Callithrix jacchus: one gene and its partner. The protein of the gene in region 1 purifies or fractionates together with the protein of each later gene. This does not show direct contact. Links are inferred from orthologs where the notes say so. Each region holds a gene or a part of one and is shown on either strand. Other genes may lie near its edges.

The links.
Region 2: the proteins of PPP1R15A (region 1) and EIF2S1 purify together in Homo sapiens (affinity purification with western blotting; 4 studies listed by BioGRID and IntAct, with this or other methods). This does not show direct contact. The link is inferred for Callithrix jacchus from reciprocal best matches to the Homo sapiens genes PPP1R15A and EIF2S1.

Annotation. Positions count from the first base shown.
Region 1 is NC_133523.1:42,711,047-42,722,981, forward strand, and holds PPP1R15A (protein phosphatase 1 regulatory subunit 15A), read left to right. Parts: upstream 1-4,112; 5' UTR 4,113-4,342; intron 4,343-4,918; 5' UTR 4,919-4,927; coding exon 4,928-6,892; intron 6,893-7,270; coding exon 7,271-7,621; 3' UTR 7,622-7,703; downstream 7,704-11,935. Other genes in the region: TULP2 (tubby-related protein 2), read right to left, coding at 10,455-10,588, 11,408-11,579. UniProt on the Homo sapiens protein: Recruits the serine/threonine-protein phosphatase PPP1CA to prevents excessive phosphorylation of the translation initiation factor eIF-2A/EIF2S1, thereby reversing the shut-off of protein synthesis initiated by stress-inducible kinases and facilitating recovery of cells from stress.
Region 2 is NC_133509.1:102,368,915-102,379,038, reverse strand, and holds the end of EIF2S1 (eukaryotic translation initiation factor 2 subunit 1), read right to left. Parts: intron 7,977-10,124; coding exon 7,870-7,976; intron 7,058-7,869; coding exon 6,960-7,057; intron 6,201-6,959; coding exon 6,057-6,200; intron 5,290-6,056; coding exon 5,164-5,289; 3' UTR 4,747-5,163; downstream 1-4,746. Other genes in the region: PLEK2 (pleckstrin-2), read left to right, coding at 372-450, 1,213-1,340. UniProt on the Homo sapiens protein: Member of the eIF2 complex that functions in the early steps of protein synthesis by forming a ternary complex with GTP and initiator tRNA. This complex binds to a 40S ribosomal subunit, followed by mRNA binding to form a 43S pre-initiation complex (43S PIC).

The DNA of each region.
Region 1 (11,935 bases):
CCCCTCCCAGCACAGCCAGGGAACTTACCCAGCTCTGTGGTCCGGATGACAGGGCAAGGGGCACCCAGGCAGTCTCCCGCCTCTGTCTCTCAGCGGCCGTCTCTCATCGCACTAGATCTCTCTCTTCACCTGCTCACTCGCACTTTTTGTCTGTCTCCTGTCTCTTATGGCCTCTCTGTTTCTCTCTCTCTCTTCCTCTCTCTTCCTTTACACACTCTCTCTCTCCCCCTGTCCCACCTTCTGTGTCTCTCGCTGATCTCTATCTCTTCCAGTCTCTCTCTCACTCATTCTCTCTCTCTCTCTCTCTCTCTCTCTCTCTCCAATCTGTTTCTGTCCAAACCTTTTATTGCCAGACTCACAGGGTCTCTTCCTTAAGTCTCTCCTTCATTCGCCGTCTCTCTTTCTCTCTGTCTCTGTTACCCTGTTTCCTCCCTCACACCCAGTCTCTTCCTCTTTCTCTCTCTCTCCGGCTCTCCACGTCTGCCATTTCCTCCCCTTTCTCTTTCCGATTTCCCTTCTCACTTTCTCCCTTCCTCTCTCTCCCAGTTTCTCTTTCCTCTCTGCTGGTCTTTCCCTGCCTCTGCCAGCCGCCCACGCTGCCGTTCTCCCCTCCCAATCCCGGCTGTCCCCGCCCCTTCTGGCCTCCCCACTACAGCCTGACCCCTGGCTCAGCTGCCCCCACAGCTGAGGGGAGGCGCTATGGGCCCCCCAATTCCTGGGTTCCCTAAGGACCAAGGCTGGGACTTCTCAGTGTTGGGAGAGTGGCACCTGAGGCCTGCACTCCTTGGCCCCTGTGGGTTTGCTGTGGTTGGGGGCCTGGGCCGCTGGTGTCCTAAAGGGAGGGCGCTTGTGTCTTGCAAGGGGTGGGGACTCAGACTTCCAAAGCCCTGGAGCGTCTGGGTTAGGGATCCAGTCTCCTGGGTGCCTGAGAAGGTCCGAGGAGGAGTCAGAACTCCTGAGTTGTGAATGAGCTGGGGGTCTGGAAGCGTGGCTGTGATTGGATGGGACCAGGGATGGTTTTTCCAGGTCCTCTAGGGAGAAAACGGGGTGGTCCCAGTAGGGCAGGGTGAAAAGGAGAGTTCCAAATCTGCACCTCAAATCCAGGTGACAGTTCTCTTCTAGACTGAGGACAACTCCCTCAGGAGGGAGACGTGGTTCCTTAGTATATTTTGAGGAACAAGATTATGCACCTAGGCTGGGTGCCGAGGCTCACACCTGTAATCCCAGCACTTTGGGAGGCCGAAGCGGGTGGATCGCCTGAGGTCAGGAGTTCAAGACCAGCCTGGCCAACATGGCGAAACCCCGTCTCTACTAAAAATACAAAGCCAGGTGTGGTGGTAGGTGCCTGTAATCCCAGCTACTCGAGAGTCTGAGGCAGGAGAATCGCTTGAACCCAGGAGGCAGAGGCTGCAGTGAGCCGAGATCACACCACTACACTCCTGCCTGGGTGACAGAGCGAGACTCTGTCTCAAAAGAAAAAAAAAAACAAGATTAGGCCTGGTGCGGTGGCTCAAGCCTGTAATCACAGCACTTTGGGAGGCCGAGGTGGGTGGATCACGAGGTCAAGAGATCGAGATCATCCTGGTCAACATGGTGAAACCCCGTCTCTACTAAAAATACAAAAAATTATCTGGGCATGGTGGTGCGCACCTATAGTCCCAGCTACTAGGGAGGCTGAGGCAGGAGAATTGCTTGAACCCAGGAGGCCGAGGCTGCAGTGAGCCGAGATTGCGCCATTGCACTCCAGCCTGGGTAACAACAGCGAAAACTCCGACTCAAAAAAAAAAAAACAAAAACAAGATTATGCATCCGTAGGGGAGCAGAGCTGGGAGGAGAGCCTGGAATTTGTAGCAGAAGCCCCCAAATCACACGGAGAGTGCTGCCCAGGCAGAACTGTGGTTTGTGGAGGGAGAACTACTGCCCAAGTCTGAAGCAGATGAAACCCGGGAGTGGAGCCTTGTGCCAGTGACCAGGAAGGAATTAGAGCTGTTGCTTTAGCCGCCATTCCCCATACATCTGTTGAGTACCTACTGTGTGCAGGCATTGTTGCAGCCATTGGGAAGAAAGCACTGAGCCCTGGTCAGGTGCAGTGGCTCATGCCTGTAATCCCAGTAGTTTGGGAGGCCAAGGCAGGAGGATCACTTGAGACCAGGAGTTCAAGACCAGCCTGGGCATCATAGGAAGACCCTGTCTCTATTGAAAAAATTAATTAACTAAAAAAAAAAGAAAAGCAGTGTGACCTGCAAAGTGCCTGATCTCATAGTGCTTACATCTTTGTTCCCATTTGCAAGGAATCTGGACCCTGCTGTGGACCGTCTTGGTCAACTGGCTTCATTTCCAAGCCTGTTTCCCCATCTGTGAAATGGGAACAATGACACCCTCACACTCGGAGAGGAAACTGACCGGATGTGAAAATAGGAGACTCTAGGTGGGGCCTGCTGGCCAAATTGGGGTGGGAGACTGGGCCCAGTGGCTCACACCTGTAATCCCAGCACCTTGGGAAACCAAGGGGGGCAGATCACCTGAGGTCAGGAGTTTAAGACCAGCCTGGTCAACATGGTGAAACGCTGTCTCTACTAAAAATTAAAAAAGTAGCCGGGCATTGTGACCCATGCCTGTAATCCCAGCTACTCGAGAGGCTGAGGCAGGAGAATCACTGGAAACCCGGAGGTTGAGGTTGTAGTGAGCTGAGATGGCGATAATGAACTCCAACTCCAGCCTGGGTGAGAGAGCAACACTCCCTCTCAAAAAATAAATAAATAGGCCAGGCATGATGGCTCATGTCTGTAATCCTAGTACTTTGGGAAGCCAAGGCAGGTGGATCACCTGAGGTCGAGAGTTCAAGACCAGCCTGGGCAACATGGGTGAAACCCGTCTCTATTAAAAATACCAAAAACTGGGTGGATGAGGTGGCTCACACCAGCAATCCCAGTACTTTGGGAGGCCGAGGCAGGCAGATCACCTGAGGTTGGGAGTTCAAGACCAGCCTTACCAGCATGGAGAAACCTCGTCTCTACTAAAAATACAAAATTAGCCAGGCGTTGTAGTGCATGCCTGTAATCCCAGCCACTCTGGAGGCTGAGGCAGGAGACTCGCTTGAACCTGGGAGAATTGCAGAGGTTTCAGTGAGCCGAGATTTCGCCATTGCACTCCAGCCTGGGCAACAAGAGCGAAACTCCATCTCAAAAAAAAAAAAAAAAGCCCGGGCGCGGTGGCTCAAGCCTGTAATCCCAGCATTTTGGGAGGCTGAGGCGGGTGGATCACAAGGTCAAGAGATCGAGACCATCCTGGTCAACAAGGTGAAACCCCGTCTCTACTAAAAATACAAAAATTAGGTGGGCATGGTGGTGCGCGCCTGTAGTCCCAGCTCAGCTACTCGGGAGGTTGAGGCAGGAGAATTGCTTGAACCCAGGAGGCAGAGGTTGCGGTGAGCCGAGATCGCGCCATTGCACTCCAGCCTGGGAAACAAGAGCGAAACTCTTGTCAAAAAAAAAAAAAAAAATTAGCTGGGCGTCGTGGTACATGCCTGTAACCCCAGCTTCTTGGGATGCTGAGGCCGGAGAACGGCTTGAACCTGGGAGGCGGAAGTTGCAGTGAGCCGAGATCGCGACATTGCACTGCAGCCTGGGTGACAGAGACTTCGCCTCAAAAAATAATAATAGTAAATAAATAATTAGGCCTGGAGTGGTGACTCACGCCTGTAATCCTAGCACTTTGGGAGGTCGAGGCGGGGGGGGGGAGGGGGCGCGGATCTCCTGAGATCAGGAGTTCAAGACCAGCTTGGCCAACATGTTGAAAAAAATCCCGTCTCAAAAAAATAATTAATAAATAGATAAATAAATTGAGGTGGGAAGGCATCTGCCCTGAGCTAAGAGAACTGGCCCGCTGCTGAAGCAGGACCATGCATTTGATTGACAGTTCGCTTATTTGGGAGGCGTGGTCACGATCGGAAACTCCGCCGTGACGTCACAAAGTTGGAATCTCCGCGAGAAGTCCTGTCTTACTTTCACTTCCCACCCTTCGGGGTGTGCTCTCGAAACCCCGCCTCTCCCCGTGACGTCACACGTCGGGGCGCGGTAGACTATAAAATCTTCGCGGACGCTTTTCGCGTTCATTGTGTTGGTTCCTACCCTAGTTGTAGTTCACGTGCGAGAAGTCGCACGACCCTGCGCCCGCTTGTCGCCCCCGCGCTTGAGGCAGCCATAGATATTCTGTGTTCCTGGACCCCAACCTCTGAGGGTGAGATGAACGCGCTGGCCTTCCTAGCCGTCCGGACCTGGGATCGCTTCTGGCAGCCCGAGCCGGCCCTCCTACCCCCGGGGTGACGCGCAGTCCCCAGCCGGTGAGTAAGGGGTCGAAACGCCTGGGTCTCCACGGGGCTGGGGGCACGGATTTAAGGAGGAGAAGGGGTTGGGAGCCTGGAGTCCTGAGTCTGAGGGAGGAGGGATCTGGAAGCCAGATTCTTGGGTTCCTCTTGAAGGAATCGTCTGGCAAGTGGGTGGGTCGGGTCAGAATATTTGAGTCTCCAAGAGAGGGAGGGTGCGGGGGTTTGACTTGTCAATCTTCAGCAGGATGAGTGAGCTAGGGTCTATGACCTTGTCCGCAAGGGAAGCAAGTAAAAGACTTGTTCTTGGGACTGGGATTTCTGCATCTGAGCAAAGAGGAGGCTGGGGGCTTGGACCCTTGGATCTAAGGAAGAACTAGGGGCTCAGATTCCTGGCTCTTGAGTGATGAGAGAGAATGGAGCCAAGGGACAGAGAGGGGAGTGGCTGAGATCAGAAAGGAATTTGGGGCAGAGGCTCACGGTGCTGTTTATGATAGTTGTGTTACTATTTTTGTTGCTGTGACTCATAGTCATGCCCGAATGCCATCTCCTTAATGGCCCCTAAACTTTATTTTTTTCCTCCCCCTTTTCCAGCCCAGACACATGGCCCCAGGCCAAGCACCCCATCAGGCTGCCGGCTGGAGGGATGCCCATCCTTTCTTCCTCCTGTCCCCACTGATGGGCTTCCTCAGCTGGGCCTGGAGCCGCCTGAGGGGCCCGGGACCTCCAGAGCCCTGGCTGGTAGAAGCAGTCAAGGGAGCAGAAGCTGGCCTGGAGGGAGAAGCTGAGACTCCTCTGACAACCCCCGCTACCCTTTGGGACAGATACTCTGAAGAGGAGGCTGAAGACAGTGGAGGCCCTGAAGGGGACAGAGAAGCGATGGGCCTGAAAACCAGCACTTCCCTTCCTGAAGCCTGGGGACTTTCAGATGATGACGATGACAAGTATAGTGAGCGAGAAGCAACCAGTGTCCCTAGAGGGCAGGGAAGTCAATTAGCAGATGGCCAGCGTGCTCCCCTGTCTCCCAGCCTCCTGATAAGGACCCTGCAAGGTTCCGATAAGAACCCAGGGGAGGAGAAAGCCGAGGAAGAGGGAGTTGCTGAAGATGAGGGAGTCAACAGTTTCTCTTATCCTCCGTCACACCGGGAGTGTTCAGCAGTAGAGGAGGAGGACGAAGAAGCTTGCAGAGCCTCTACTGCCCTGTCTCCAGGATCCAAGCCCAGCGCTTGGGTGTCTTGCCCAGGGGAAGAAGAGAATCAAGCCACGGAGGACGACGGAAGAACAGAAAAAAGTCAAGGAGCCAGGAAGACCCCCGTGTCACCCCCATCTTCAGGCTCTAACCCCACGGCCTGGGAGTATCATTCAGGAGAGACATCCGAGGAGAAGGAAAAGGCACACGAAGGAGCTGGGAAAGGAAAAGCTGCCCCAGGGCCACACTCCTCAGCCCCAGCTCAGAGGCCCCAGCTCAGGGCTTGGCCGTGCCAACCCACTGATGAAGAGGAAGGTGAGGTTAAGGCTTTGGGGGCAGCTGAGAAGGATGGAGGAGCTGATCCTCCCTGCATCCCTGCCACAAGTGCCTTCCCGAAGGCCTGGGTATATCAGCCAGGAGAGGACACAGAGGAAGAGGAAGAGAAGGCGGAAGATGAGGACAGTGATACGGGATCAGCTGAGGACAGGGGAGAAGCTGAGACTTCCGCTTCCACATCCCCTTCAAGTGCTTTCTTGAAGGTCTGGGTGTATGGGCCAGGAGAGGACACAGAGGAAGAGGAAGGTGAGGAAGAAGATAAGGACAGTGACTCTGGATCAGATGAAGAGGGAGGAGCTGAGGGTTCCTCTTCCACTCCTGCTACAGGTACCTTCTTGAAGTCCTGGGTGTTTCAGCCAGAAGAGGACACAGAGGAGGAAGATGAGGACAGTGATACGGGATCAGCTGAGGACGAGGGAGAAGCTGAGAATTCCGCTTCCACACCCCCTGCAAGTGCCTTCCTGAAGTCCTGGGTGTATCAGCCAGGAGAGGACACAGAAGAGGAAGATGAGGATGAGGGAGAAGCTGAGAATTCCGCTTCCACACCCCCTGCAAGTGCCTTCCTGAAGTCCTGGGTGTATCAGCCAGGAGAGGACACAGAAGAGGAAGATGAGGATGAGGGAGAAGCTGAGACTTCCGCTTCCACACCCCCTGCAAGTGCCTTCCTGAAGTCCTGGGTGTATCGGCCAGGAGAGAACACAGAGGAGGAAGATGAGGATGAGGACAGTGAGGATAAGGAAGATGATTCAGAAGCAGCTGTGGGAGAAACTGAGTCAAACCCACATCCATCCCACCCAGCCCAGAGTGCCCGCTTCAGAGACTGGGTATATCAACCTGGGAAGGAGACAGAGGAAGAGGAAGCTACTGAGTACTGGGGAGAAGCTGAGCCCTGCCCCTTCCGAGTGGCCATCTATGTACCCGGAGAGAAGTCACCGCCTCCCTGGGCTCTTCCTGGGCTACCCCACCGACTGCAGAGGCGGCTCAAGCACCCAGAATCACCGACCCGAGATCCGGACCCTGAGACTCCCTTAAAGGCCAGAAAGGTGGGTGCTGAGAGCCCAGATTCTTGAGTCTTAGAGAGAAGCGGGGCTGGAGGCTGACTCCTGGGTCCCTGTAGTTGCAGAGGGTTGCATGTAACCTCCATAGGGAGGGCTGTGTATGCTGTCATGCAATCCCTTGTAAGAGGGCAGGCCCCTGGGGGAGGAAGAAGCAGCTGTGGCTCATGGCAGCCCCAGGAAACCACCTCTGCCTTCAGTGAGTCAGACGGAGACTCCTGTGACAGTGACAGGGATGTGACTAGCCAGATAGAGAGCATTTTTGTGTAATTAATTTTTGTTTGCTTCTCTCTCTTCCCCGCCCTCACCATCCGGATTCCCATGGCTGTGTGCATTTCCTCTCTGTGTCCCCATGTCTGCCCCCAGGTACGCTTCTCTGAGAAGGTCACCGTCCATCTGCTGGCTGTCTGGGCAGGGCCTGCCCACGCCGCCCGCCGGGGCCCCTGGGAACAGCTTGCCCGGGATCGCAGCCGCTTTGCACGCCGCATTGCCCAGGCCCAGGAGTTGCTGAGCCCCTGCCTCACCCCTGCTGCCCGGGCCAGAGCCTGGGCACGCCTCAGGAACCCACCTTTAGCCCCCATCCCTGCCCTCACCGAGACCTTGCCTTCCTCCTCGGTCCCTTCATCCCCAGTTCAGGCCACGCCCTTGAGCCAAGCTGTGGCCACACCCTCCCCCTCCTGTCTAGCTCCCCTGGACCTCAGTGGGAGGCGTGGCTAAGACCAACTGGTTTGCCTATAATTTAACTATTTATTTTTTCTAAGTGTGGGTTTATATAAGGAATAAAGCCTTTTGATTTGTAGCAAGCAGTATCTGTGTGTGTGTCAGAAACTGATAGCATCCTACTTACAGGTCCCCAAGGTAGCTGGGGAGAAGAGCATAAAACAAAGCACCTCAGGCCAGGTGGGGTGGCTCACACCTGTAATCCCAGTACTTTGGGAGGCTGAGGCAGGTGGATTGCCTGAGGTCGGGAGTTCGAGACCAGCCTGGTCAACATGGAGAAACCCCATCACTACTGATCTTAGGTTTACTGTGGGAAGTAGAAAAGTTCCTCTTTAAATAAAGTTCTCTTTAAAAAAGTAAGTGTGCTAGCCGGGCATGGTAGCTCACGCCTGTAATCCTAGCACTTTGGGAGGTCGAGGTGGGTGGATAACCTGAGGTCAGGAGTTCAAAACCAGTCTGGCCATGATGGTGAAACCCCAACTTTAAAAAAATAAAAGGAAAAGAATAAGTGTGCTAATAACTTTGTTAAGCCCTATCCTATGTAGCTGTCAGACATGCCACGCTTACAGGCACGTAGTACATTCTATGTCCTTGTACTTTAACCAGGATATCTGTGCTGGACGTGCTCACAGGCATGTCCCAGCTCTCCATTGCTTTTCCCTTTTGAAAAAGTTTTAAGGTGTTAGCCTTAAAATCGGGTTTTAGTTTAAATTGTGAAGTCTGGCTCCAACCAATGGAGATCAGACACAGCAGTAAGGACGACCCCAGACTCGTAAGGGGTCAATTTGCTTTCCATTTGCTCATTATACTCTTGTGGCAAGATGGCTAGTGAGGGTCCCCTTCCTGCAGTTCAGGAGGTAAAATTTGTGTTGCTGAAAGATCCTTTGTCTCTGATAACTTTTCTTTGCAGCACCGAGCATCTGTTTCTAACATTAGTGATGTTATCTGCAGAAGTAATTGGGGAAATTGCATATCTTGTGACCTCTAGAATAATGACTAGTCATCTACCTCCAATTTTTTTTTTTACTGTTTTTTATTTGTCATCCGGGCTGGTATTCAGTGGCTTGATCTCGGCTCGCTGCAACCTCCACCCCCTGGGGTTCAAGTGAATCTCCTGCCTCAGCCTCCTGAGTAGCAGGGACTGCAGGGGCGCACCACCATACCCAGCTAATTTTCTTGGTATTTTTAGTAGCGACGGGGTTTCACTATGTTGACCAGGCTGGTCTCAAACTCTTGACCTCGTGATCCACCCACCTCAGCCTCCGAAAGTGCTGGGATTACAGGCATGGGCCTGCACTACTGCACCCAGCCTCTACCTCTCATTTTTACTTTTTTGTTGTTATTGAGGCCAAGTCTTGCTGTGTCGCCAGGCTGGAGTGCAGTGGTGCGATATTGGCTCACTGCAACCCGGAATTCAAGCAATTCTCCTGCCTCAGCCTCCCTAGTACCCAAGATTACAGGCATGCCATGCCCTACCACGCATGGCTAATTTTTGTATTAATCTACCTCTAGACCTTGCAGAATTCAGGCTCCTCTCATCCTCCTAACCTGATGGTCTTTCATTAGCTTTACAAAAGCAGCTTAGTTTTGGGAAGGGTTATTCTCATTTAAACTAGAAACTAGAGGCCTGGGCATGGTGGCCCGTGCCTGTAATCCCAGCACTTTGGGAGGCAAAGGTGGACGGATCACTTGAGGTCAGGAGTTTGAGACGAGCCTGGCCAAAATGGTGAAATCCCAACTCTACTAAAAGTTTTTAAAAAATAGATTGGTCTGGTGGTTCATGCCTGTAATTCCAGCTATCCAGGAGGCTGAAGCAGGAGAATTCCTTGAGCCAGCGAGATGGACCAAGACTCCATCTCAAAAAAAAGAACACCTATAAATTTTTTTTTTTGAGACAGAGTCTCGCTCTGTCACCTAGGTTGTAAGTGCAGTGAAGTGATCTCAGCCCACTGCAAACTCCGCCTCCCCGGTTCAAGCAATTCTCCTGCCTCAGCCTCCCGAGTAGCTGGGACTACAGGCATGCACCACCATGCCTGACACCATTATTATTATTATTAATTTTTCGTATTTTTAGTACAGATGAAGTTTCACCATATTGGCCAGGGTGGTCTCGAACTCCTGACCTTGTCATCCGCCCGCCTGAGCCTCTCAAAGTGCTGGGATTACAGGCGTGGGCCACCTTGCTGGGCCAACACCTATAAATGAAATGTCTCCCACAGTTAGCTTGGTCTTAGCCCAGGAGTGATGAAGGGCAGTTTGGAGATTACAGGCAGCATGGGGTTGGTTCGAGCAGGTCTCCTTCACTGTCATAATGTTCTCACTGTTACGATTTTTTTTTTTTTTTTTTGAGGTGGAGTTTCGCTCTTGTTACCCAGGCTGGAGTGCAATGGTGCGATCTTGGCTCACCGCAACCTCCGCCTCCTGGGTTCAGGCAATTCTCCTCCTCAGCCTCCCAAGTAGCTGGGACTATAGGCATGCACCACCATGCCCAGCTAATTTTTTGCATTTTTAGTAGAGACGGGATTTCACCATGTTGACCAGGATGGTCTCGATCTCTTGACCTTGTGATTCACCCGCCTCGGCCTCCCAAAGTGCTGGGATTACAGGCGTGAGCCACAGCGCCCGGCTGGACAGGCTGGTTTCAACTCCTGACCTCAGGTGATCTGTCCGCCCACCTCTGCGTCCCAAAGTGCTAGGATTACAGGTATGAGCCACTGCGTCTGGCCAGTGTTGGTTATTATTAAGGGTGGTGCTAAAGAAGGCTCTTCCTCCAAATGAAGAGGCACAGAAGCTGGTAAGGGTATGGTATTTTATACGGTATTTTATTTTGCTACTCAATGGCCAGCTTCACACTGAAACTGGACAAACATATGGCGAAGGCCTGGAGCGGGCTAAGTGGGAAGCAGAAGTCCATGGTGAATTTGTCTGGGGCCACGCGGCCGAACTGGAGCACCAGACGTTCCGCTGAGAAGGAAATCAGGAAGGAAGCCTTAGCCAGACTCTCTCATCTCCCACCTTCGAGAAGTGAGACATCCAGGCTGGCTCACTGCAACCTCCACCTCCCAGGTTCAAGCAATTCTCCTGCCTCAGGCTCCCAAGTAGCTGGGATTACAGGCGTGTTCCACCACAACCAGCTAATTTTTGTATTTTTAGTAGAAACAGGATTTCACCATGTTGGCCAGGCTGGTCTTGGCAGGTGATTCACCTGCCTCAGCCTCCCAAAGTGCTAGAATTACAGGCATGAACCACCACACCTAGCAGAGAACTGAAATTTTTTTTTTTTTTTTTGAGATGGAGTCTTGCTCTGTCACCCAGGCTGGAGTACAGTGGCACCATCAAGGCTCACTGCAACCTCCGTCTGCTGGGTTCAAGCGATTCTCCTGCCTCAGCCTCCCAAGCAGCTGGGATTACAGGCGCATGCCACCACACTCACCTAATTTTTGTATTTTTAGTAGAGACGGGGGTTTCACTATATTGGCCAGGCTGTTCTCGAACTCCTGACCTCGTAATCCACCCGCCTCGGCCTCCCAAAGTGCTGGGATTACAGGCATGAGCCACCGCACTAGGCCAAGAACTGAGACTTTCAAAAGGCTGAGAGGAGGCCTTTACTAAACCAGAAAGCCTGAGGGCTGTGTAAACTACAATTCCCAAGAGGCTTTGCGACAGCATGGCGTCTTCCTGCCTAGAAAAGCGCTCAAGTGATGATGGGAAATGTAGTTCTCTTCCATTCACGCCCTAACCCCACCCCACCAGGGCCAGGTAAACTGGTTTCCAGGAGCTCACGGTCTTTGGGATGCATGATCTGGAAGTTCTTGACAGAAGTCATAGTAACTCGATCATGGAAATTGAGCATGAAAACACCTTTCTCGTGGTTCCACAATGGGGTTTTGTTGTGCAGCACAAGCAACCCTTGGTTGTCTCCACGTTGGATGCGACTCAGTAGCAACTCCTGTTCCTGGAAGGTAAAGAAGGGGCTGTGGTTTTGTCAGACGTTTTCGAACCAGAGCGACTCCATCTTGAACAGGGGCTGAGCAAAATGAAATTGAGACCTGATGGGCTGCATTCCCAGGAGGGTAGGCATTCTTAGTCACAGGATGAGACAGGAGTTTGACAGGACTGGTACCACAAGATACAGGTCATAAAAACACTGCTGATAAAACAGCCAGTAAAGAAGCTGGCCAAAACGCACCAAAACCAAGATGGTGATCAAAGTGACCCTGGTCGTCGTCCTCACTGCTCATCATACACTAATTATAATACATTAGCATGCTCAGGCCAGGCATGGTGGCTCACGCCTGTAATCCCAGCAGT
Region 2 (10,124 bases), on another chromosome or scaffold:
AAATATATATTTCTGATTAGTTTGTAAGATGCACACATGGGTTAAGAAGCCAGTGAATACTTTTCTGGGTAGCATGTTGGATCAGAGCCTCTGTTTGAGATATCTCCAGGAATGAAAAGCAGATTTGCAAGTCTCTAAGACTGGTAACTGCAACATTGGTGGGAACTACCGCTACGGGCTGTGAAATGAAGAGGCCCAAGCTTCCTTACTGATACATGCAGCTTTGACCGTGTGATGTCCAAGTTCAGCTTCATCTTTTATTATAAATGATTTGTGCTGAGTTCTTTAGCTGGCCTGAGTTGTAGCAGAAGTACAACTCTTTCCTTTTGTGCACTCACAGATTTCCTAACTGGGTCTCCTTTCCTCTGCAGGAAGAGAACAGGCCAGTGGGTGGGTTTTCTCTTCGTGGTTCACTTGTGTCTGCTCTGGAGGATAATGGTGTTCCCACTGGTAAGGTGCAACTTCAGCCCTGGCCTGAAGATCTCAGAGGCCTCCCTCCTGCACCTCAATAATGCCCTACTGATGAAACAACAGCTTTAGGAGCTAAGCAGGGCTTTCTCAATGAGACAGAGTGGTGTGAGTTTTGAAGTGAATTTCAGAATTGAACAAAGGGTATGTTCTTAGTGTTTTTAAGAATACAGTTAAGTAATCCTTATGTTAATAATCTTTCCCCTCAGTTTCTGTGCTGATGGACCACAAGCTTCTGCCTAAAAATAATAGCTGAGGCTTACACAGTGCTTTAGGATTAATAACATACTTTAATATCTATCTTAACACTAATTTCACAATAGCCAGCCATAGTAAGAAGACATTATTCCCATCTTATGGCTGTGGAATTGGGGTTCCAAAAAGTTAAACAATTTGAGATCAAATTCCAAATTCTGTGCTTGCTGTTAACATAAACATACTGGATTCTTTGGTGTAAATGACATGGTAGATCTATGGCATGCTACCATTTTGAGCATAGGAGCAGGCAAGGGCTACCAGGAATATCCAGACATAACCACTGGCAGGCCTTAGGACACTGGTGAGGGATAGGGAATGGGAGGAAACGGGATATCGTCTGATGGGATTTTCTAACTGTATACCTTTTATTTAAGAAATACATCATTGTATGGTTTTGTCCATGTCTCAGATGACTTTCTTCTGGTTCATTGTGAAAGCAGACATCCTATTCAATCACTGATTTTTTTTTTCTTTTATTCTGCCTAGGGGTTAAAGGGAATGTCCAGGGAAACCTCTTCAAAGTGATTACTAAGGATGACAAACACTATTACATTCAGGCCAGCAGCAAGGTTGAGCGAGTCGAGTGGATTGAAGCTATCAAAAAGCTAACATGACAAGGACCCGAGGAACCAGGATTCTTCCCTCCTACCAGATGACACAGACAGGATTTCCTGGAGAATGGGAGTGTGTTGAGACTTGACTTCTTTGTATGTTTTGTACTTCTTTGGAGGGTGAATGCTGAAGAGTTCCTCGGATTATAAACAGCAGTGGTGCCATTTCCTTCCCCATCTTCATGTTACAACCTGGAAAGGCTAGAACAGCCATTAGGTGTCAGCATCTTGAGTTTTACCCAGCATCACAAACAGCCATTCCCTTGGGCACTAAAATAGTTTCTCTTTGTTGGAACAATTACCCTGGCCATGCCATAATGCTGAATAAAACTCTTCTTATGCAGTTCTCTCTTAACTTCTTTGGAATTAGTAAAAACTGACTTTTGTTTCTGGTTATTGGAATCCTATGCAAAGTTTTATAGTTTTCAAGCAACATTTCAAGCATCTCTGTCCCTAAGACATACTTCATCTTAAAGTGGGGATGGTGGCAAAACTTTGAACATTCAGAGAATATTGTTTTGCTTTGGAAAACAAGTCTGCATAAATATACATTACAGAAGTCATGGACTCTGTCAGAGAACTTAATCACATATACAAAAAATAAATACATAGTTTTTCCATGAAAAATGGGCATTTAGAGATGGAGAGTAAGAGTGTGCTAAAGGACAGAGAAAGATGTAAATGGGGAAGACTTAAATCAAGGCATTGAATTTTGGTTTTAAAATGAACATTAGCTGAGACAAATGGCACCAAGAAATTTTACCAGTGGGGAGGTTAATCTATAGTGAAAAGTCTGTATCATACAATACTTTTACTTTTAAAGAACATTTTTATTATTTTCAAGTTTGTACAGTATCTGGCACAAGTTATTGCCAGCATTCTTGCCAAGTACAAATGCTTGGAACTCCCCTTAATCAACAGATAAATACATAACTTACATTTAAGGGGAGTGGATTACTTCAAAGTGCTTAGGTAAAAATTTGTCCTCTTAGTTTGAACTCTTAATTGTATCTAAAACACTGACCTGAATGAGAAATCTCAAGCTAATGTTTTACTTATTCCTTATATGGTAAGAGACTGACTACCTTTTAAAGTACCATTTTCCATTTGGCATTTCACCAAGGTCTAATGTCCCTGGAATTAGTTTGCTTTGCCTTTTGAATATTGACAGGTGTTTATCTGAATTAAACTACATTTGGCTTGATGGCTTCCTGCATCAAAATTGGCACAAGTATACCTCACTTTGGGAGCTATCAGGATCTCCATGGCTTGGAAAGTAGATGACCATTACCTTGGGGCAAATCAATGAACAAGTCTCAGCAAGGTACTGGCACCTACATTTTAAAAAACTCTCTAGCCATTTTGTTCTTGGTGTAAAAGTAGAATGGCTGGAGTATGGCAGCTGAGAAATGTTCTGCTTAGCGTGATGCAGTGCTTAGCATGTCTCTATGGGTCCGTCTTTGAATATTATGCACTTCAGAACTGGTTTGTCTTGTTTTGCTATAAAACTAATATGAAAAATGATTTGGGCGGGGCATGCTGGATCACACCCTCATGAAGGCAGAGGTGGGAGGATAGCTTGAGCCCAGGATTTTGAGACCTGCCCAGGCACCGTAACACCATTTGCCAGGAAAAAAAAAGGAAGATAAGTGGTTTCAATGTTCAATTTCCTCCTGGCCATCGATTTTCAATTAACTTATGCATAAACGAGACCCAAACTATCACTAATTTTCAGCTATGAGTTGATAGCCACTTGACCTCAATGAAAGGCAGAGTGGGAAATAGATGAAATTGTATTTTAAATGGACTTTGATGGGAGATTCAAGATTTTTGGTTGGTTTTTTTTTGAGACAGGGTCTTGCCTTTTCACCCATGCGGGAGTGCACTGGAGTGATCACAGCTCACTGCAGTCTAAACCTCTTGGCCTCAAGTGATCCTCCGGCCTTGGCTCCCTAAGTGCCAGGATTGCAGGCATGAGCCACCATACCTGGCAGAAATTCAAGATTTGGATGAACTGTTCACTTCTTTGCCAAGCCTATTCTTCAACTTATTTGGAGCTGGGTGTACAACTCGTCCTCATATGTATCTTGTCCCTGCTGTCTTTTAGGTTAGCAAGGTATATGCATGCTTTGTTCTTTTTCTCATGGTATCAGTGAAATATTGATCTTTCTCTAGCTAGGGTCAATTTATAAAATTGTCATGGAACCAAGCAAAAGGCCCACATAGAATAAAAATCACTTACCATGGAAGCCACCAGTATTTTTCAAGTTATGGCTTTTGAAGTATAACAAATTTCAGTAAACAAAATCAAAAGAAAAAAATTCCTCTGTGTACAACAAAGGAGCACCTGTTATATTTTGAATGCATTCTTCATGTTGCCACCTTTATAAACTTGGTTTTTTGATGCTTTGACAGACATAAGTGAAAATTATGTGTCAATCTTAAGTACATCAGTTTTCCTCTACATAGTCTTAATGCAAAATGCTGGCTGGCAATCAGGGCTCTTAGAAACAGCCTTTGGAAGTTAAACTTTTGGATTTCAAAAGCTAGTACAGACTGCTATATTTAACAAAAGGAACAAACCTTCATAAATGATACAAACTATCTGCCCAACACATTCTTCTATTTTCCAGGCCCTTTAACATTGAGTAAAGTCTAATCTTGGACTGACTATGGTGGGTTAGGTCTAATCTAAGTATTTTAATAGTTATCTGGGGATAATGAATAAAATCAAATACAACCGGTACCTCAAGTATCTTAAGAGAATAAATTTATGAAGACAAGTAGACTGAAGCAACTCAAGATTTCCTACACCTGACTAAATAATGTGTTACCTATAAAACTTATTATGTACAAATTAGTTCTTGAAGACAGAAGTAAATGTGGGGAAAAAAAAAAAGCACCGTAAGTGTTCAAGTAGATCCCTGTTTTGTTTTAAAGAACAAGAGCTCTAAGTGGTACCTAGTGGATATTTTAGGAGGAACAAAAATAAAAAACTGGATGATACTCCAACTAAATAAAAAATGCAGCTGCTTTTTACATTTTAAAAACATATTTACCACCCTGAATTATAAACTCAAGGCAAGTAGCTTATTATACCAATAAGGATGTGGTGTGATAAATTCCCTCATGCAAGTTGTCATCAATCTCAAATAGATAAAAGGCACAGAACCAATCTAATTCTTTCATTGCATTTTAAGGCTTTGGCCCTGCAATTAAGGGCCAACTTTCACTGTGGTTAAAGTTAAATTTATTTTCCCTAAACTCTTCTTTTCAAAGGATCTGTTATAGAGATCCTTTATTCACCTGCTCTTATAGTTCCACATCAATGCTAAAATGAAGATAATAGAATTAGGGTCTTAGTACTTAGAATGCTTTTAACTGGTGACAAGAAGGAAGAAGCCTATAGTTAAATATCCCAGAAATTTATTTGATGTTTGCATGAATACATTTTATGTAGAAAGATTGGGATTGTTTGCTTTGGATGCCCCTGGTAAATGTTATGAGGCATTGAATTAGAAAGGGGTGCCAATGTGGAGACATCAGAAATGGAAATCACAAGCCCAATTTTAGAACTATTCTTAAAGATTTGTCTCTAGTGAAATGAGGCCACTCCCTTAAAAATGCTCAAAGTGTTAGAGCTACTGTGAAAACAGCTGACATTTAGGAGGGCATTTCATGTTCTGATCTGTTAGAACATTTAAATACTTGGAAATAAAAAATATTCAGCTTTGAAGTTTTCAATACTGGAAAACTTTCAAGTCTAAGATTTCAGCCAGGAAGGGCTGCTCTGTGTTCCTTATATTGGACTTTGTTCCCCACAAAGTTAATCTTCAGCTTTGGCTTCCATTTCTTCTGCATCATCATCTCCATCCACTTCTGCATTTTCTCTTTCAAGCCTCTCCATCTGCCTTGCGAGTTCAGTCTCATCTGTATCTGTGACCACTTTGGGCTGTGGAAGCAGAGGTATAATTTAAAACTGAAGTAGTAAACACTATACAAATTTAATTTCAATACTATTACTACCTCACGTTTTTTTTCTTTTAACACTTTTCTAACAACTCTCTCATATCTGTTCACTTTTGAGTGCTGACTTGTCACTAACAAATTCCATTAGATAAACAGGTGAAATTTATGAGAACAACAGTATAGAAAAAGATGTATGTATTAAAATGGAAATTTGTTTTTGTCATCTTTATAAGCTAAAACTGAAAACATGAAATAAGCCCAGTGGCTGTATCTTTCAAGTCCACAAAAAGATGGACTCTTCCAGGCTCAAACTACCACTTACTAGCTTATTAGTCCTTTCCACTGAAGGAACCCCCCTCTCTCTCTCTCTTTCTCTCTCTCTTTCTCTCTCTCTTTCTCTCTCTCTCTCTCTCTCTCTCTCACACACACACACACACACACACATTTTTTTTCTTGTTGAGAAAAGGAAAAGACAGGAGACTTTTTTTTCTAATTCTAAGATCAAATTTTAGACATGCCACATCCAAATTCTAACAATAAAAAAACTTCTCATTTATATTGTTTATTCTCTTCCCCCTGGCCAGGGGGTAGGTGATGTGGTGAGGGTGACCCGTAACACCATTAATGGTCAAAGGCTTGAATAACCATCCTACAATATGATATTCCAAGGCCGACAGCTCTTATTTATCTATAAAAACCCCTTTTAGAAACCTCCTGAGACATTATTAAAAACGAATCTATTGATCTCACCTCCATTTGAACATTGAACACACCCCTCTTTTCCTCAATCTTTTCTTTGATAACAGCCATTGCCTGACTGAGGACAGAAAGGCCTTCTGTTCTCTCCAGGGTTGTCGTAGTCATTACATACCGAGGAGGAGCTATTAGATTAATCTAAAAGAGAAAACCAAAAATTCAATTATGAATGTACCTACAGAACCCACAACTATTAGGATGCTTGAGATTTTATTACTCTGCTATATTAACAAATCACCCCAAAATGTGCCAATTCTATAGGACAGTAATTTAGGGTCCTACAGAATTGGCGATTATGTTTTGGGGTGATTTGTTAATGTAGAAAAGTGAATCGATACAGGAATCTAATGCAGTAGTATAAACAGTCCACTGTAACACTGAATAAGAACAATTATAATTTCTGGGTATCTTTGGTAGCTAAATTAACTGCAATTATCATGAGTATAATGGATAATTTGTCTCTAAACTAAACTGATTGAAGAATCTTTCTACAAGATTCTGAGTTATTGCCGTTCAGTTAATTTTATCACTAATGAAAGATTCTGATCAAACCTCATAAAATTTGCATAGGTATAGATGGGAGAAAGTGTTACTCTTTTTAAAGTGCTATCAGTATTTTAGGCACAGCAACTCTTTATCGTAAATGAGGTTTAGCGCAGATGGCTTTCTAACAATAGGAATCTCCATTCACTGTGATAGTAACAGTAGAAACCAAAAAGGCCTAAAGAAAATCACAAACATCTAGAAATATTACTAAGACTCACTGATTAACTTTAAGAGTAAAAAAGCCACTTTTGTTGCAAAGTATGATTTTAAAAAAAAATCAAAACAAAGATCAAAGATCTTATTTGGCTTAGATGGGTAAATCAGCAGGGAAGGAGACAACTGACAACTCACCTTAATGGGCATGGTTTCTGTAGAACAATTCAAACCTGCTCTTAGGGCTTCTTTTACAGCATCAATGCCTTCATAACCATAACAAGCCACTTCAATATCTGTAATTACAAAATTCAGAAGTTGACACCAAAAAATGCAAAAAATATTTAAAAGTTTAAAGAAAATCAAACATGGCAGATATACTAGTATTCAGAGACTTAACCTGAATCCAACCTCTACACTGCAGTTCCTTATTTATAAACTGGAGGTAAGGAGGAGTGTGGTAAAGATGGAATATAACAATAACTACAACTTATCTAAAACAGTTTAGAAACTGCATTATCCTTTGACTCAGAAATTCTGCTTTTAGGAATTTGTCTTGAAGAACATTTGTGTAAATGGGTAAATATGTATAATATAAGGGTGTTAATTTGTAGCTTTTTTTTGTATCTGTGAGAACTGGCACAATCTAGATGTTCATCAAGAGGGGACTGGTTTATGTTAAGGTTTATCTGTTCTATGAAACATTACTCAGAATGAAAAAGGATGAAAAGATTCCTATGTTCTGCATGGAACGGTACCTATAATACACTGGGTAGAAAAGGCTAGATGGAGAAAATCTTGTATAGTATTTGTAAAAATTTGGAATATTTTAAATTATGCACTAACACCAAACAATCAAACCCCCTTTTTTTTAAAAAAGGGCTAACTTTAGGTTAGTTGAACTCACACAACTGTTTCTACTTGTGTTAATACAGAAATCTTATGATTCAGAAGCCAAAATAATTTCTTAAGCTTTTGTTATAAAAAATAAACATTTAGAAAAATTTATAGACGTTGATGTAGCAACATATTCTTTGGTAAGTCTTATTATTTAATAGCTTTTTTGATGCATATAAAATACTGTAAAAACATTTAAAAAATCATTTACCCGCTCGAATTTTGACAGCCTGTGGGGTCAAGCGTCTATTAATATTATTAATGAGTACTTCCCGTTCATCTTCATTCAAATCTAAACTATCCAAAATAGACGGGTCTCTGGTAAAAAAAAAATAAATAACAAAAAGTCAAGATTATATTACTGATAAATGTGAAAGTAAGCACCCTGGAATAATGCATATAATAGTAAAGAAAGCACAGGCTTTAATGTCACAATTAGAGTTCAAATCTTAGCTGTGCACTTACACCCAACTAATTATTAGTGAAATCAAAATTTTAGTGATCCAACTAAAACAAGCAATTTAGTATCTCCTAACACATCTGATATTCTAATATAATTGATTACTTCCATGCAATTAGGTGTCTCTGCCTCAAGGAGTTTATAATCTAGCTTGAAAAGAACAAAAACAGGGAAAAATTTGTAAATGTTAACAGTATATATACTGTGGGCCTCAGGAGAGAAAGGTATTACTTTCTAATGAGGTCAGGAAGGGCTTCATGCAAAAAGTAGTATTTCATCTAAGTGCCACAGGACATGGACCAGGGTCTTATTAACTGGCATGCCTGTTGAATGAGTGAACAAACAAAAATATGAAATAAAGACTAAAAGAGGAGTAGCATTGTAAAAAGCAAAGGCAGAACTATTTTAAGTAAGTTAAGATACAAAGGGCTGGCCACCAGTGGCTCATGCCTGTAATCCCAGCACTTCAGGAGGCTGAGGCAGGAGGATTGCTTGAGACCAGGGGTCTGTAGACCAGCCTGGGCAACAGAACAAGACCTTTGTCTCTATTACAAAGAAAAAAAGAAAGTTATGCCATATGAAAAAGGAATAGGAATAGTATGAGCAAGCATCAGGCTTAATAAGCAAGGGGTCTAGTTAAGGAACAAAAGGCAAGAGAATTTGGGTGGAGGGAACTTTTACTCAGCTAATATAAAGGAACAAGAAGACAAACCAACACAAATGCCCAAGAAACAAGATGACAAACAAACAGAAAATGGGCAAATGAGGTGAACAGATGTTTCACAGAAGAAATACAAATGGTCAATAAACATGAAAAACTGTTGACCCTTCCAATAATCAGGAATATGCAAATCAAAAGATACTATTGGGCATTCGTTAGACTAGAAAAAGAAGAAAAAAAAATCATATGTATTCCAAATTGTGGCAAGGATGAGGGGAAACAGGAATACTTATACAATTGCTAGAGGGAATATAAACTGTAGAATCAATTTGAAGAATAATTTGGTGAAACCAAGTGAGTTTAAAGATATATAATCAATCCTATGTCAATCCTATGACCTAACAACTTCACTCCTAGGTATATACATTAGAAACTCTCAAACAAGTACATATAGAGACATATACAGTATTCATCATAGCACTGTTTGACAAATGGGACAAAAGGGAAAAATTACCTAAACAACTCTTAATAGAGGAACAGATAAAGCATATTCTCACAATGAAATACTATAGAGATTAATATGGATCAGGTGTACATCTATCAATGTGGAAGAATCCTGCTTAATAACAGCCTTATATGTAAAAATGCAAGCAACAAAAAGATACAATAGGTTACATTTTAAATAAAAAATGATTATAGACACATGTGTAGTAAAACAATAAAAACAAATGATATTGACATAAAAATAATTTCAGAATACTGGTTATCACTGATAAGTGAGGGAAACGGGTGTGAAAAGGTAAAACACTGTTTCCAACTACGTCAGAAATTGTATGGAATTTTAAAACATATAAAGAACTAGCATTAGTTAAATCTGGACAGTCCCTACATGAATGAAGCAAGAAAAGAGTGCTAAGGGAAAGGGAATAACACATGCCAAGGCAAGAAGACAGAGGGGATGCTGGAGCTAGAAGTTAAAGAGGTAACTTGGGCCAGATGATGATAGTTAAGACAAGTTAAGAAATGTACTGAGGACTGCAGGACAGAAATATAAAGTGGTGCTTAATGGCTTAGTATAAAATCTGGATGGAGCCAGAATGCATGGGTTTGAATACTGCCTGGCTCTCTTATTTGTTAGCTGTGTGACCTTGTAGAAATTATTTAATCTCAGCTTCAATTTCTTCAACTGTTAAAAAAAAAAGGATAACAGCATTTATACTATTGTTAGAACTATACAAATGTTAGCTATTATCATTACTATACCCACCTTTTCTGCCACGTGAGATTCATATATATATGAGTCACATGAGAATAAACTTGAAGGGATTTAGAACCCCAGATGAGT